Linked DNA regions of Caenorhabditis elegans. The protein of the gene in region 1 interacts with the protein of each later gene in a biochemical or structural test. Each region holds a gene or a part of one and is shown in the gene's direction. Other genes may lie near its edges.

Evidence for each region. Proteins that work in one complex are often made in the same cells at the same time.
Region 2: the proteins of rad-51 (region 1) and helq-1 form a complex in vitro, tested with the Caenorhabditis elegans proteins (one study listed by BioGRID).

Annotation. Positions count from the first base shown.
Region 1 is NC_003282.8:10,281,094-10,286,249, reverse strand, and holds rad-51 (DNA repair protein RAD51 homolog), read left to right. Parts: upstream 1-2,005; coding exon 2,006-2,030; intron 2,031-2,114; coding exon 2,115-2,194; intron 2,195-2,235; coding exon 2,236-2,517; intron 2,518-2,753; coding exon 2,754-2,900; intron 2,901-2,954; coding exon 2,955-3,112; intron 3,113-3,598; coding exon 3,599-3,690; intron 3,691-3,739; coding exon 3,740-4,016; intron 4,017-4,147; coding exon 4,148-4,274; 3' UTR 4,275-4,616; downstream 4,617-5,156. Other genes in the region: thk-1 (Thymidine kinase), read left to right, coding at 4,683-4,709.
Region 2 is NC_003281.10:583,905-588,889, reverse strand, and holds the start of helq-1 (Helicase POLQ-like), read left to right. Parts: upstream 1-1,784; 5' UTR 1,785-1,792; coding exon 1,793-1,868; exon of another isoform or gene 1,869-2,888; coding exon 2,889-3,320; intron 3,321-3,376; coding exon 3,377-3,555; intron 3,556-4,027; coding exon 4,028-4,396; intron 4,397-4,494; coding exon 4,495-4,587; intron 4,588-4,636; coding exon 4,637-4,773; intron 4,774-4,822; coding exon 4,823-4,985. Other genes in the region: Y55B1AR.2 (Flocculation protein FLO11), read left to right, coding at 518-623. UniProt on the Caenorhabditis elegans protein: Single-stranded 3'-5' DNA helicase that plays a key role in homology-driven double-strand break (DSB) repair.

The DNA of each region.
Region 1 (5,156 bases):
AAAAATCCAAAAAAATTTAGAAACATAATACAGGAAATAGAAGGAGTTCAAAAAGATTTTCTGAACTTTTCAGAAAGTAGGCTAAAATACGGAATTGGATCATTAGAAGAAAAGACAAAAAGTTTGAAAGGAAACTAATTGGTGGAGAAATTAATATTAATCAAAAACATTTTTTCAAATTCACAACTTCTGATCGCACTAGTAACCGGCTCACTTATAGATGGAAAACCTCTAGATCTAAACTTCGATCCCAATTGTTCACTCATCATGTGTTGAGTTTAATTTTAAGCCCAAATGAAATCAATTACCCTAGTTAGTTACAATTCTCATGCAAAGATTTTATTAACAAATTTCACTTCTTTATGTAGTTTATCAGTAGATACACATGTGTTTCGCGGTTTTTTAAATATTTATGGAATGTAGTTGAGGCATCAGCAATATGATGAAGCAAATATTTTGCACTAAAAGTCGCAATTAGCAATATATTGCTAGAATGTTGGTGGTCCCGCAGCGAGATTAGCGATTTGCAAATTGCATCTAAAATACTGGTGGCCATAAGTATTTTATAACGGCGAATCACCTGTGTCATAGCCTTTCTAAATTATTTGCACTTTCATCATAATTTTTTTTCTTGCGATTCTCTCCATTTTCCGTTCAATGAACGATTTAATACGCATGTTCAATAATAATAAAATTTATCCGAGAGGAGTACAGAAGAAAATTAACATCGCTGCGAGACCAATCGCTACAGTACTCAATGTCGATTTACGGAGGAAACATGTTTTGATTTCTCATTGTTTCTTTTGTCATTTTTTGTCATTTTAGTTTTAAAACTTAATTATCCTCTAATGATTTGCGCGGTTTTTTATTAAATTTTTGATTATTCTCGTAGCTTTTGAGTTAAACTAATTAAAAGTCTTCAGCTATGCTAAATTTTGCTTCCTTTTCTTGAATGAAAACCTAAAATGAACAAAATTTTTTGTCATTAAATAACAACGCTTCGGTTAACGCTTGAAATTGATATTCGGAAAATAAAAAGCCTGATTTTTGTTCGATTTCTGAAATATATTTCATGCTTTACCCGTTTTTAATTGCGAACAATTCTAAATTTGAAATATAATTTTCAATCAACGAAAAACAATTTTCAAGATAAAAAATTATTATATAAATTTAAGCTAAGTATTAATAAATTAATAAGTAATAGTATTCAAAAATCATAGAATCTTGCAAGAAAAAATGTTTTAAAGATTTAATAGTTCGAGTGATTGAAAAACGAATAGTACTTTAAAAAATAATGCTTTAAGGCAGAAAAGTGATATAAAAATTAAGCTCAAAAGGGCAAAAGATAAGGTTAATGTCCAGTTTTGGTTTTAAAATGGTTCGGACACAATGTACATAGTAGACATTTGGGTGTCCTCTTCCTTCTCTTTTCCCCATTGCGTCCACTGACCCTCCTTGCTGTATGTCTGCGCATCGTCTTTTTCTACACTTTTTCCTTTTCCCTGGCCCGTTCCTATCGGTGCCTTTCACACACGCGAGCGGCAGTGGACGAGACGGGAGGGCGAGGTGTTGAACAAGAGTACAGCAAGTGCGCGCCATCGAAAAAGCGGAAAAAAAAATTTCAAATGGCGCTACTTTGAAAATTGAGAATTCTGTATTTACTGCCAGTTTTACTTGCATTTAAATTTCCATGTTTTCTATTCTAAAACGAAAATCTATCTAAGAAAACCCTTAATAAAAACCTATAAATCATAAATTGTGATTCTTAAATTCGAAAATATGTTCGTTCAACTTGACGCCTAGAAATATGTGGACTTAATCCTGTTATAAATCAGTAGTTGACGACAAAAATAGTAGAGCAGCAAAAGCAGTTCTAACTTGTGAAAAACATGAAAGTTCTTGTTTTCGTCAAGCGAACGGGGGCTCGAGGAAGGACTTGGCACGTGTCTCTAGGCCATGTTTTTCTCAATTTTTGTTGCTCTAGAGAAAGCTTTTGCTATTGATTATGGGACAATCTTGGGGATATGAAGGTAACATTTTAAAAATAAGTTTAGGTAAATGTGTAGCATAATTTTTGAAAAAAAAAGCTCCACTGTTAAAAATGCCGATTTTAGGGATTGCGAAACGTTCACTATGTACACATAAATGGCTATATAATTTGAATTTGCATTCAATAAATCTTTTCCTTCCAATTGTATGTTTTAACTTAAAAATAATTAATTAAAATTATCTCAGGAGTCAAAAATGTCAGCTCAAGCAAGTCGTCAAAAGAAATCGGATCAAGAGCAGCGTGCAGCTGATCAAGCTTTGCTCAATGCAGCAATCGAGGATAATGCGATGGAGCAAGATGAAAACTTCACAGTTATCGATAAACTTGAGTCTTCAGGAATCAGTTCTGGCGATATTTCAAAACTAAAAGAAGCTGGATACTATACATACGAATCGCTGGCATTTACTACAAGACGCGAACTCCGAAATGTCAAAGGAATTAGTGATCAGAAAGCTGAAAAGATAATGGTGAGCATATCAAAAAATCAGCTTATTCGAGAATTAAAGAAAAAAACTAAAAATTCTGTGGCTTTATTTTTCAAAATCCAATTAATTGAATTGAAAGTATCAGAAAAGTTGATACATTTTTCGAGGTTAGCTCCGAAAAAGAATGAAACGATCAGCTGCAAGGTCAGTTTTGACGGCAAATCGACCAGCTGTGAACATGTAGACATCGGCCTCATATTTCAATGATTTAATTTCAGAAAGAAGCCATGAAATTCGTGCAGATGGGATTCACGACGGGAGCCGAGGTTCATGTGAAGCGAAGCCAGCTGGTGCAGATCAGAACTGGATCTGCTTCACTTGACAGACTGTTGGGTGGCGGTATCGAAACAGGCAGTATCACTGAGGTGAGTTTATCACGGATAAACTGACAACAGTACTCAATAAAACATTTATTTCAGGTTTACGGAGAATATAGAACAGGAAAAACTCAGCTTTGCCACAGTCTGGCAGTCTTGTGTCAATTGCCGATTGATATGGGAGGTGGTGAGGGAAAATGTATGTATATTGATACCAATGCCACTTTTCGACCCGAACGAATTATTGCTATCGCTCAGAGGTTTGTGATTGAGAATTATTCTTAAAAATCCTGAATTTGTCATAATTTGATCTCCCGACTTGAAAATTTAAAAAAAAATTAAAATTTATTTCGAGAAATCAGTAACATATTTTCTCAGTCTGAAAATAGCTGTTATTTTTGCTTGAACAATTGAAAAGGCCAAAAATGGTCTGCAAGTTGGAAATTGCCGTAAATGAACTTTCAGAGATGTTCCGGGTCTTTTTTTGGCGAATTTCAACTTGCAGGCAATTTTTTAGCCTTTTCCTTATTGTTTCAACAAATATAAGTTTTTTTTTTCAGATAAAGTAAATATTTCTCTATATTCTATCACTAAGTTTGAAATAAAAACGTTTGGAGAACAAGTCGCAATGGCTCATTTTGTACAATTACTGGTTTACGCCACATGGCTTGAATTTTGGCATTTGAGAATTTACCTTATTATGGATCTTGTAGCATTTTTTTGAATATCGAAGTAATTTCTTGCAGATACAATATGGACAGTGCTCATGTACTCGAGAATATCGCTGTTGCACGTGCATACAACTCAGAACATTTGATGGCTTTGATTATTCGAGCAGGTAAATCTAAATTTCAAAAAATAAAAAAATAAACTTTTTCGTGCCATAGGAGCAATGATGTCCGAGAGTCGTTATGCTGTTGTGATTGTTGACTGTGCAACTGCTCATTTCCGTAACGAATACACTGGAAGAGGAGATCTAGCGGAACGTCAGATGAAGCTCTCTGCTTTTCTGAAATGCCTTGCCAAGCTTGCCGATGAATATGGTGTCGCTGTAATTATTACCAATCAAGTTGTAGCACAAGTCGACGGAGGAGCCTCGATGTTCCAGGCTGATGCTAAAAAGCCCATTGGAGGTCACATCATCGCTCACATGTCTACTACCAGGTAAACATAGTTGGAGGTTTTCTGAAGATTTTGAACAAATAGAGAACATATTTAATTTTTTTATTAAACATTACATGTGGTCTTTTTGAGGATTTTTTAAAGAAGAAAAATTAAGTTATTCATATTTTCAGATTGTACCTTCGAAAAGGAAAAGGAGAGAATCGCGTCGCAAAAATGGTTCAATCACCCAATTTACCAGAAGCCGAAGCGACCTACTCAATCACGAATCATGGTATTGAGGACGCACGCGAGGACTAGCCGTTCGTTTTTCTTTTTCTTATCAAACTTCATCATTCATATCCCGATAAATATATCACATTTCTGTTTCTCTCCACACTTTCACGGATTCATCATGTTTATTTGGGTCGTTTTTAAATCTAGCGTTCTATGTTCTCTATGAAAAGTTTTCGCCTGCCCCTCATGTTTCACTATTCCGTTACATTCCTTTTTTGTATCTGTATTATATATAGGTTTGTGCATCTCTCTCTCTCTCTTTTGTTTTACCCGTCGTTTTGTATGAATCGTATAGTTGAACTGATTATGTCAGTATTGATAAGCTAATGTTCTTTTTAATTTATAAAGGTTTTCGAAACCTTTAATACTGTATTTTAAAAATGCGTGTTCATCATGTTAACCTAGCAATAATTCCAGATCCAACTAACTGAAATGGACATTGAAGCGGCCAAGAATGAGGTAAGATGATTATCTCTAATTTGCCTATTCGCAAAATGTGGAGTGGAATTTTTGCTTTGTAAAATTCCGGCAACAACAAAAAACCTTGAAAATTGCCTGAAAATACCCAACTGTCCGTACTTATGCTCTCAAAAGCGATTCTTATTATGCAATACCGACGGTCACAGCACATTTGCTGAACAGCTGTGTGACCCTTGCCTGTTGTCATCGTCTCATTCAAATTACTCAACATGATCTTGCCCTCTTTTGATCTTTACTATTCTTATTTAGGTTTTGAAATTTATTGTTAATATTTGTACGTCAGAGATGACTAATTGGCTCCTGATAAGAAAGTTCACTTATTTATGATATACTAGTTTATTTTTAACTGTATATCGTGTTGAGCCAAAAATTTATTTTCTGATTCTACATTTTCCGCTTTAGTATGGTAGATCGAGACATTTTATA
Region 2 (4,985 bases), on another chromosome or scaffold:
AAATATTTGAATTCTGCAATTAGTTTATTGTTGTTTTACAACCATTTCAATCACAAATTGGCAATTTTTGAAATCGGAGTATTTTTGTGAGAACGGTCCACAGCTTAATTTAAACCTATTTCACTACAAATTAATACTCTCCTATTGGATCCCAAAATAAAACCGTTCAAGCCACTTTTAGTGCTTAACACAATACAAAATGCTGTGTGAATTATTTCTTATTCAAAATATCTGACCAGAAATAGTACTTAATAAGAATTCCAATGAAAAAATGAATAAAATTATAAAATTTTCTGAAAAGGTAGTATTTAAGCAACAAAAGTAGTATTTTAGCAATGGCAGTATTCTAGCAATAGTAGTATTCTAGCAATTTGGTAGTATTCTAGCAAAGGTAGTATTCTAGCAATAGTAGTATTCAAGCAAAAGTAGTATTAACACAAGGTAGTATTTCAGTATTTGCCCATTTTTTACGCTCCTCTTTTCTAATAAAATCCACCAAAATTCTACAAATTTTCAGACATTCCGTGGCCGCCGCCGTGCGTCTTGCGACATCGAAGCCAGAGTCTTCCACATCTACAAATGGAACCGCCCGGCATTTTGACAACGCCGACGAGTGCTTCTGAAACGTCTGAGGATGGTGAAAAAGGTGAATTTTTAAGAGAAATTTGATGGAAAATTGAAGATTTTAGCGAAAAAAGTGCCAATTTTCATGCTCATGGGTCTGCTAATTATTTAGCATACCCAACTTTGGTCTGCTAATTATTTAGCATACCCAACTTTGGTCTGCTAATTATTTAGCATACCCAACTTTGGTCTGCTAATTATTTAGCATACCCAACTTTGGTCTGCTAATTATTTAGCATACCCAACTTTGGTCTGCTAATTATTTAGCATACCCATGGGTCTTTTTTTTTTAAATATTATTTTTAATTGAACAAAACTTTTAGGTAAATAAATAAAAATAAAATAAGAAGATTTACTGCTGATTTAATTTTTTTAAAAATAAAATTAATAGAGAATATACCAAAAATTGATACAACAATTTCAACGTTTTTCTGAAAAGATGAGAAATCCAAACGTGAACGAAAATTGACACTCAAATGACTTAAATAATTGAATAATTTCTATGAAAACCTCAATATTTCAGCAATTTTCCGCCCAAATTCAACTCGTCGAATGGCTCGAAGTCTGTTAATAACTCCATCGATTTCACACGATTCTCCGACTTCACTTGCTTCATTTCTATTAAATCCCCCCAAAAAATAGTCATTTTTGTTCTTTACCTGAAAATATTTTCCCGTCCCCTCTGCCTTTCTCCCACAAATTTTCTCAGCAAAATTTCGCTTGAAACTTCAAAAATGCATTTTCCATCCTATTATTTCTGACGAATTATACCCTAAATGTCAATTAAAAACCGGTTCCAACATGACTTTTCGTGCAATTTTATCTCTAAAAATGCACAATTTTATCCCAACTTTCTACTTAGCCGGTTACGAGTTTTTTATCCAAAAAGCCAAGTTTATTCTCCCATAATTCGCATATTTTTGTGTTTTTCAAAAAATTTCGAATTTTTTTTTGAATTTTTTTTCGAATTGTCTTGTATATATATATATTCTATGAGTTTCTTTGTGCCCCCAGCCCAATTATGATTCCGATAAATCCACCATGAGCTTTTTATTTAAATTTTTTATTCTAAATTTTTAACTACTAATTGTTCGTTTTTGCGTGTTTAACCTATATTTGAATTTATTCCAGATTTTCAGAATTTCCACGTATCTTTTCAGGGTTTCCCATGAACCGTACACCGATACGAAGGTGCAAATCTGCAGAAATAGAGGAAGATCCGTTTTCGCCTATTCCAAAATTTTGTAGGTTTTTTGTATGGAAAGGCAACGTGGATTTCAAGAAGAAACCAAAACATTTTGGAAAGTTTGAAAAAAAAACCCAGAAAATTGAAAAAGTTCAGAATATTTTAGAACCTCTGAAAACAGCGAAAAAATCCGTAAAATTTGAGAAAATTTCAAAAATAAAATGAGATGTTTAATAAATTCAGAAAAATTCAAAAAAAAATTCCGGAAAAATTTCAGCAATTTTTGGAAACTCAGGAAACAACGAAAAATCCGGGAAAATTGAAAACAATTTTTAGAAATTAAAAAAAAATTGGTAAACTCAAAAAATTCCGAATAAATTCAAATAACTGAAAAAAAACTTCAGAAAATTCAAAAAAAAATTCCGGAAAAATTTCAGAAATTTTTGTAAACCCGGAAACAGCGAAAAATCCGGAAAATTAAAAAAATTAACTCAAAAATTCCGAACAAATTCAGAAAACTGAAAAAAAAAACACTTCTGAAAATTAAAAAAAAAATCGAAAAAATTCGAAGAAAATCCCGAAATGTACTTCCTTTGAAAATCCAAAAATCAAGAAAATCGTTTTTAAAAATCCTAAATAGTTGAAATAAAAAATTTTGAAAAGTAAAAAAAAAACTAAACTCAAAAACTTCCGAATAAGTTCAGATTACTGAAAAAAATTCAGAAAATTCAAAAAAATTCCGGAAAACATCCTGAAATTTTTGGAAACTCCGGAAACAGCGAAAAAATCCGGAAAAATTGAAAAAAAATTAGAAATTAAGTAAAAAAATAGTTAACTCAAAAAATTCCAAATAAATTCAGAAAACTGAGAAAAAACACTTTTGAAAATTAAAAAAAAAATCGAATAAAATCCCGAAATGCATTTGCTTTGAAATTTCTTCATTCCAAATAAATTTTAAAAAAAGAGTTTAAGAGTTAAAGTTCTTACTGATGCGTTGAACTTATCAAAACTCTTCAATAATATATTTTTTTTAATTCGACGATTTTTTAAGAGATAATTAAAATTTTCAAATTTCCAGCACGATTACGAACGCCTCGAACATCTCGAGAATACGTATGTCCACTAAAATCCACATCACCACAATCCCCATCATCATCGACTGAAAATGAGCCGCCGCCCGTCTCCGTTACATCACCACCTGCGAGAAAACGGGCACTTGAGGAATCCACGGTGACCCCGATACAACAGAAAATAGGGCCGCCTGTGCTTAAACGGAGTTCTTTGAGCAAATTGGCCGATGGATTTCGGACAGCTGCATATTTGAATAATGAAAGTGAAAATGACGATGATCCATTTGGATTATCATTTCGAAATGAGCAAGTTTTGATGTCAAAATGTGCTCCAGCACCAGAAAAAAGGCCTGAAACACTGACGCTGGATCCATCAAAATGCCTACCAGAACGTGATATGGAAATGTACAGAAAGATCAAAAAATTGGATAAATTTTACGGTAACAATTATTAAATGTTGGAAAAAAAATTTTGAACTTTCACAAATTTTTTGCAGATTGGCAACAAGAATGTCTCTCCGACAAACGACTACTCGATGGAGAAAACTGTATTCTTTCCCTGCCTACCGGAGCTGGAAAAACGCTAATTGCTGAAGTTTTGATGCTACGAGAAGCTATTGTTCGGAAGAGAAACGCTATTTTAGTGCTCCCATATGTAGCTATAGTTCAGGAAAAGGTATACCATGAAAATGCTTGAAAATTGAAGGTTTCTAGCGATTTCGAGCTATTTTAGACACCTTTTTAGTGATGGGCCTGCTAAATAATTAGCAGACCAAAGTTGGGTATGCTAAATAATTAGCAGACCGAAGTTCGGTATGCTAAATAATTAGCAGACCGAAGTTGGGTATGCTAAATAATTAGCAGACCGAAGTTCGGTATGCTAAATAATTAGCAGACCGAAGTTCGGTATGCTAAATAATTAGCAGACCGAAGTTGGGTATGCTAAATAATTAGCAGACCGAAGTTGGGTATGCTAAATAATTAGCAGACCGAAGTTCGGTATGCTAAATAATTAGCAGACCGAAGTTGGGTATGCTAAATAATTAGCAGACCGAAGTTCGGTATGCTAAATAATTAGCAGACCGAAGTTGGGTATGCTAAATAATTAGCAGACCGAAGTTGGGTCTGCTAAATACGTATATTTCCAGATATCAGCGTTGGCTCCATTCGAAGACGCATTTGGCATAAATATCGAAGAATATGCATCGAATAAAGGAAGATTTCCGCCGATAAAACGTCGAAAACGAGTATCAGTCTACGTGGCAACCATTGAAAAAGCCAATATGCTCATAAATTCTCTCATTACTCAAGGACAACTGGATCGAGTTGGAATGGTCGTTGTGGATGAGTTACATATGATTGGAGATGGTGGAAGAGGCGCAATTTTAGAACAGTTACTGGCGAAATTTCTGTACAAAGGCACCGGCCAAATAGTGGGAATGTCAGCTACTTTGCCGAATATTGATGACCTGAAATTCGCGTTGAGAGCTTTTGTGTATAGCACCAATTTCCGACCGGTAAGTTTCTTGAAAATTTAGAATTTTCGTGAAAATTCGAAAAAAATTCGTGAAAAAATCCAGAAAAATCCAATTTTCCTAAAAATTATGTTTTACAGGTAGAACTCACGGAATTCGTAAAAATCGGGCAAACGATGCACCAAGTTTCTGAAAACGGAGATCTGAACCCCGCTGGGGATCTCCCTACAAATGTAAGCGGACAATTATAGAAATTTCAAAAATTGAATAAATTTTCTTCAGAATCTAAAATCAACTGATCCAGATGGAATTTGCCAGCTGCTCGCCAAGCTCATTCCCAAAAATTCGGCCGTAATTTTCTGTCCGAACAAGAAGAATTGTGAGAATGTGGCTGTTTTAATTGCGAAAACTCTTCCAGCGTAGGGTGCCACGTGTGGATTTATTTTCTAATCATAAATTAATTTTCAGACATATTCGACAAGCTAAAAGAGCTGAAAGTGATGCATTTCTGCAGTCCTACTTGTCGGATAACGATGATGAACGGATGGATGCTGTGCTGAAACAGTGTATTCTGTCAGGAGTGGCCTATCATCATTCGGGGTTAACACAAGATGAGCGAAAATGTGTTGAG